2 linked regions of the Drosophila melanogaster genome follow. The protein of the gene in region 1 interacts with the protein of each later gene in a pairwise test. Each region holds a gene or a part of one and is shown in the gene's direction. Other genes may lie near its edges.

Evidence for each region. The genes of interacting proteins can lie anywhere in the genome.
Region 2: the proteins of tup (region 1) and CG32369 interact in a two-hybrid assay, tested with the Drosophila melanogaster proteins (one large-scale study listed by BioGRID).

The regions. Positions count from the first base shown.
Region 1 is NT_033779.5:18,879,455-18,883,211, reverse strand, and holds the start of tup (tailup), read left to right. Parts: upstream 1-1,950; 5' UTR 1,951-2,416; coding exon 2,417-2,555; intron 2,556-3,757.
Region 2 is NT_037436.4:7,807,974-7,811,730, reverse strand, and holds the start of CG32369 (uncharacterized protein), read left to right. Parts: upstream 1-1,905; 5' UTR 1,906-2,734; intron 2,735-3,757.

The DNA.
Region 1 (3,757 bases):
ACAAAACTATTTCAACCAACAAGTTAAACGTTGTTCCGACCATATCGATGCGCAGTGGCTTGAGTGACATGTCCTAATTCGTAAGCGTTGACTTTTACCGGCATTTCAATTAACCCAATTAATGGACGGGACCTAATTAAATTTTGAATTCATGTTGCCAGCAAACGCACACTCATCCAGCTGCCTAGTTGCCCCGCACACAGATACGCCGGCACACACACCCTCGCAGGCGAACACACAGACATCAGTCAGCTGTTTTCTGCTGGCCAGCTGTCGTTCGAGTGCGAAGGAGATGGCGCGAAAGCCTCGCAATTCGGGGGTGGTTGGGGTACTGTTGGGGGTGGCAGAGGATGGTGTTGGATGGTAGCAAGGGGGTGGCTCGCTGTAACAAGTATGTACTAATGTCGGCGTCTGGCTAACTGAGACACGGCTATGAATGAGTGCCCCAAACGGAGCAAGCGGGCCACTGAAACTGTAGCTCGATGACCTTGATTATACAACACAGCAGCAGCGCCACCACCCCCCAAACCAGCTCAAACTCTACCAGACCCACAAGCAGCCCTGTTCGCAGCAGGGCCACTCCTTCAAAATACCCTACGTCAAATAAAAATGGCAAAAAAGTAGTCAGAGGCTACAGACACTCGAAAAAATAATAAGGAAATCTAACTAAATTGTACAGTAACACAATATGTTTATGATGTTAAACTTAAAATATTATAAAACTAGATTGTATCTCTATCACATATTCTATATAATTTAGAAATGTGCACATTTAAGTAAAATAATTTACCACCACAACTCATCTTAAACTTCTTCCTGGCCTACAGATAAGCATTCTTCAAAATTGCTTAAACAAGCTTTTCTTCGAGTGCACCCCAAGAGTCGGTGATGGTAACTGGTAACTGACATTACAACAAATCATCGGCCAGCAAATGTTGGCAACTGGGTGCCAAGTCAACGAACTGCTAACCGCAACACAGACACCGACCGCCACCCACTCGAACACATATATAAATTGCCGTACGGGGGCGTCATTAAAATTGCAACAGGGCCTTGAAGGAGCAACAGAGCAACAGGGGGGGAGGGGGTGGAGATTGGAGCGCTCCCCAAAAGACCAGAAGACGAAATCAAAAGATCAATAATTATTATGATGTTGCAGCACACCCGAAACGAGACGCCTTCAGACCGCAGAGCCAAGTCAAGACGGGCAGGTGAGACAAGGGGGGCGGAAAGGGGCGAAAAGGGGAGCCCCAAAAGCGGAGGGGCTACAGCCGAAAAGTTCGACAAGCGCATTACAACAGTTCGGGGGTAGAAAGACAGACGACGGATGAAGAGTGGGGTAGGGTTGGCCAGGGGGGTGCGCTTGCTTACAAGTGCAACCATTTTGTAGTACAAACTTCGAAAACCAAAAGCGAAATTGGCAAAACAAAAGGCCAGCGAAGGGAGCGAGGATGTGGGCCCACCTCCTGACTGCCTCCATTTGTGGATTGTGGATCCCGCAGCCACAGCTGGAGTCGGTCATGCGCACTCCGTCCAACCGATTGGCCCGCTTCGCCGCCATTTAGAAAAGGCCCACCAAGTGGAAGCGAAAGAGATGGGCTTGCTGCCAGAAAAGGACGGAGCGTGAGAGCGCTGCCCGCAGAGCGAGTGCGACAAAAACACCTGTTCCTGTTTCGAACTCCCCCCCCCCTGCAGGCCGTCAGTCCATCGAGTCGGCTATCCGCTATCGGCTATCCGAGAAGTACACGCAGAACTGGCTCGGAACCGGTTGCAGCTGCACCAGTGCCACACCAGTTCCCTACCCTTGCGGAGCGACGAGCTAGTCGCACTGCTCTCGCAGGCAGAATGTATCTGCGAGATACATTTCGGGGTGAGTGGCTGGCTGGCTCGCTAGCTCGCTGGCTCCCTGGCGTGCGGATAACGTACGGCAAACGGAACGAAGCGCCGACCGGTTTAGTCGTTCAGCAGTCTCCGTGCAGTGAGCATGTTTGTGCGCCAGACATCGTCGTTGGTCGGTTGTCGTCATCGCTACTATATAGCCGTCGTATCGCGAACATCGACCGTCTTAGCTCGATAGCCGTCGGATTTGCCTTTTCGGATGCGAGAGACTCTTAAATCCCTCACCATAGATCCAAATCCCTGCGAACAAAACGCGTGTGCGCACACGGATCACACAGCCGTGATAATCCCGCTAAATTCGCCGAAAACCCAGTGCTCTGTGTCCCGGTCTCATATTGAGTAATTCAAGCAAACTTCACGGAATAAGTAAACCAGTACAAGTGCCTTACACAAATATCCCTGCTCAATGCCGGAAACTTCTTGAGTACGGCCCAAAACGAAAAGGCGCCCGCTCTCAAGATTCCCAGCCCACAAATATCTCGAGTGTGCTTCGCCGAGTGTCCTGTCAGCCAAATATATGGTAATGGCAGAGATTGGTGGCCATTTGGCTCACCAGCTACCGTTGCACAATCACAACCACAATCAAACTGGATTACAGCCATCGCTGGTGATGAACCATCACCTGGATTTGGATTGCCATGGACACGATGTGATAAGTGAGTACCGATATTCAAGGGCTGCTGGCTTTCCGATTTCGGGCTATTTGGGCTGCATCCTTGAAAAGGACGATATTTAATACTGGAGATAGCACGATCACTTACCTAGGGACAGTCTTAAAAAAAGAACAATGGAATGCCCTTCCACAGTTTGGATATGAGGCTATTGTATCTTCTAGATACATTTGTTGGTTCTAAGTACTTTCGGTCTGTTTAAGAAGGCATTACAGTTTTTTTCCTTAGTTCCCTTAGATTTAAAATTTGGATTTAAATAAATGTCCTGACAAATAACTTAGAGGCTAATAGGGGTTTAGTCTAAAAAAGCGCTTTGTTGATCCACTGTAAACCAAGATTAAATTGCATTTTAAATCAACCTATTCAGAAATTGTATACCTGCAATTGAAACATCATTACATAGATCACGCATCAGTGTCGAATCATTTGCCGCTAATAAAGCTATTTAAAGCAGTTAATGACTTATTTATGGCTATTGTCCTAGTCCCCAAACAAAAATTGGCAAATTAAATAGTCATTAAACAAGAGCCACTGATGGGTAACTTTCTCGATTCGTAAATATGGAAAATGAACGAGGAAAGCCCGCTTTGGACATTAAAAGCCAATAAAATAAGTAAAAAGCCGTGTTAACAAATGCTCGCACCCAAATCACAGTTGTAAACTTGTCTTGCTTATTTTTGAAACATTTTAATGCCCACCATTTTAAATTCCAGATATCAGAGATCAAGGCTCGGACTCAAAGGTTCCGAGCTTTAAAACCATGAACTGTTAGTCAAGTTTATTTGTAACGAAGGTCGAAGTTATTTTTATACCAAAATCATTAAAAAGTTCAGGCACGCGTTGAACTCTTTCATACCTTGAGTTTTTAATTTTGCCAATGGATGTGATGTGAGCAAGGCTGCGCTAAAGTAATTACAAACAAATTAAAGTGATACCAAGAAAATACGAATCCATAAATAATTTTTATTGTGCCATTCTTTTGTCAAATTGGAGGATCTTTTTTTTTGTATATTGAACGACTTTCTGAGGTTCTATCTTTAGGTTCGGGATTTCTTTCGGGCCACAGTCGTTAGCCGACTTGTCGCTGCAGCTTTTGTAATGGGCTTAGACCCTATCTCGACCTGTCACTTGTTGTTTCAGTACGGCAATAACTGTTAAATTATAGCCGTATTTTATTTTAAGCACAC
Region 2 (3,757 bases), on another chromosome or scaffold:
GGTGAGTGGAGAGAGGATCTGAAAATGGTAACTGGATATGAGATAAGCTGTTAAAACTGTTGGGTGCAGTTGACATGTCGCTAAATAAAGCTGCCGGAAACTCAAGAACTGAAATGACGAACTTCAAGTTCGGATAAAATGCGCATTCTAAAACAATGTATACCATTCAACATTTAATCTGTGGAAAAACTTCCATGGATTCCAATCATAAGACAAATTCTCACTTCCACTTGGCAACAAACGAAACTCGCCCGACTTCAATTAACATTCACTAAAACAACGAAAAAAAATAAATAATTTGTTTGTCAGCTTCACACACCTATTTCAAATTCAGCTGAACCAAAGCCCAAATCGGTGATATACACTATTATGCAAAAAACATAATAAAGCAAAAAAAAAAAACTGAAACTAATTTCCTCATATATTGCTTACAAAATAAACATTTCAAACATGAAACTCGCAGCTAATTTCCGTTGATGAACAACAAAAGCAGCGCCAACTATTTGAGAAATGGGAGCTGTATAACCGGTACACAGTCAAAATTTAATTATATAATTGTACATGGTATTAAAATATATGGTACTACTAAAATAACGTTAATTGCTAAACAATTAAAGATTATTGAGATTCTACAACTCAGAAATTTGAAAATATATATTAGAATAAATTTTGTTAATTTTAATATGTTTTAATCTGTAAACTTTCAAGCTTTGTTTTTTTTTTGAATGCAGGCTTAAACCAGACCCAGACCTGAGGCAAAGCAATTCGATTACTTCCCTATGGGGAAATGTTGCAATAAATGCGAGCAATGCTCAAACATAAGCGGACTCCACTCGCCCGCCCCGCATATTTTTATACTGTCCAAGACTTACGAAAGCGAAAAATGAGTTAACAACAACGGCCACTCAAAATGTTAATGGAAACGCAGCAGCAGCAGCAGCAGCAGCAGCATGAAAACTGGTAGTATGCAGGCAACCGCTAACAGACAACGTTGAACTTGAGCTTGAAATACAAGCCAAGCGGAGCCAAAAGAGAAAGACGGGAAGTAGGGGGAGGGGAAGCGATACGCGGTTGTTATAAGCCAAGTTTGTCGACAACTGCATTTGTTGATCAACCCAAATGAGGTCAACGCGTCGTATACGTAATTTGCGTTAAATGACAAAACAATATGTAATAGCCACACAACACTTACGAAACGCAGATATTCGATATTACAGACGAACTTTAACAACTCTGAGCTCTATCGGGATAGGAAATCTATAGCTTCAAAACCTGTTTAAGGATTATAAAATTAATACATCTTGTAATGACATGTCTGAGAATTAATCAACTTATATTTTCACAGTTTAATCTATTGTGTATTTTGTTATACAAATTTCGTTATTAATTTTATAAGTTATTTGAGTAAGCTTTTATTCTATTTTACATAATCTAAAAACTATATTTGCGTATTAAACAAAATTACAAAATTTTATATATGTAATTTAGTTTAAGTAACAGAAAATCGACCGTATCTGTTGTGATTATTGATGTTTGCTTGGTGTTTATATGGCTGTAGTCTGTTGAGTGGCGCCGGAAATGCGCATCATACGATAAATGACGCCCACTGGCAAACTAGCACCCCCAACACCACCCACTATCCCCCAACCCAATAGTTTTGCAAATCACCCACCGCAGCCCCCGCTGCCCCATCATTTTTCTTGGCGTCGCCTGTTGTGACAGTTGACGGTTTGCCGGCAAAAATTAAAAAAAAAAATAAAATGCCAGAGAGAGAAGTGCTAAACAAAGAGAGCTCAAGGCACAGACATCGATGACGCAACAGACACATCCACGGAGGCGTAAGAGAGTCGACCCCAAAAGAGAGCGCCAATTTTTCGCTCCAAGCCAACGACTGACTTTTCACAGCAGTCATTCGCTGTTGAACAGCGGCCGTGGCAAGTTCAGACAGCAGGGAGAGTTTGAAAAAAAAAACCAGGCCGTAATACAAATACAAAAAGCAAAATAATAAAAATTATACAAAAAAAAAGTATGAATAATAAAAAAGGCAAATAAAAAAGCAACAAAGTGGAGCGCACCCCATAAGCAAATCATCGCCGAGCCACTCGAACACGTTGCCGCCGTTGCTGCTGTTGTCGCTATTTCTTTCGCCCAGTGCGTTCGCTCTCTCTCTTTCTGTCTCGTCGCGTAACGTAAGCGTATTACAAAACAAACGCCAACGTAATCAAAGAAATAAATAAAATAAAATAAAGGTGCTCGCTCGCGTGTTTCTCGGTGTGAATAAATGAAATAAATAAATTAGTCACAAAATATAAAAAGGGGGTCCAAGTGCAGCCCCCCCCAAATTGCCGCACACCCTTTACGAGAAAGAAAGAAAAAAAGTTAACCCGTGTGTGCGGCGGGGTTACGTAAAGCCGACGGACAAGCGCCGTTCCAAGTTCTTACAAAACAAAAAAAAAAATATATATAAATATCAAACAACACATAACACGAGTGAATAGATTCCCCAATTCGATTTTTTCGCACGCGTGTGGCTATAAATTTTTGGCAAACAAAAATATATACAACTAAATACAACAACAAAATTTTAAATAAATTGCAAGAAGAAGAGGGAGAATTTCGTGTGTTAGTGTGTGTGTCTGTGTGTGATTCTTGAGCAACAGTACACGCCGCACCCCCCGCGAAAAACCTACCCTTTTTTGGGGAAAAACAAGGAGGCGCGGTTCAACAGCGACAGGTAATTCCATTTCTGCGCTCTCTTTGCCACTCTTTCGGGTTCTCTTTGTGTGTGTTACGACATCAAACCACATGCTATGCCTCTGTTTTCAATGTGAATGAACGCTCGACAAAGTTGCGTTTTCAAAGATTGGCACATTCAAGTCTCTCTCTTAGTTTTTCGCTCTTTGTCGGGGAAAACAGTTTTTCATTTGCTATCTGCAATGATTGTGAAAACAAAAAGTGCACTGCTTGAGTCTAGCGGAGGGAAAACTGCAGGGGCGGCTCTTACGTGTTGCCATATTTTTAAAGGCATTACTAAGCGTTTTTTCCGCGCTGCTTTGTTGACGTTCTGTGGCCAATTGAATTCGGCCTGCACTTGATAATCATTTATATTTAATGTGTGATAAAACTTCCGTGGAAAAATATATATCTTAACGATTTCGCGATAAATTAGCTCAGATAAGCAAAAAACAAATGGTGGAAAGAACGATTTGGGAATTTTAAAAGAAGTAAAATTAAGAAAATAAACAATTCAACCTCGTTAAATTATAGTTGACACAAATTTTATATACAAAGTTAAAGTATATAAAATATAACTGGTAAAAAAAAACGTCAGTTTTTTTCATTTTCATTTCATTCATTTTCCTTGAATCTGTCGCGTTGTCATCGCTTTCGTAATTCTCTGGTTAACAGTTTCCAATCCCCGATAATCTACTAAAGATTCGCCAATTTGTCGGGGTCACCACCCAATATTCGTCAGCTACCAAAGCGAGAAACTGGGCTCCTTCCCTCTCCCCCCCTCGACCGCATATGCCCCTCTCACTCGGTTGACGTTTAGCGTTACGACACGCAATGTACTACGAGTATTATGCGACGTTTGCTGCCAATGAACAAGCCGCAACAACACAGTTCGCCCACTTGGCCCAAAACGAAAAACGCCAAAGGGGTTGGGGAAATGCTGAAAAAATATGGTTAGCTCGAAAAGAGGAAAAACCTATTTGCATACGTCATCGGGCGAAAAAGGTTCGTCATGACTCAGAGT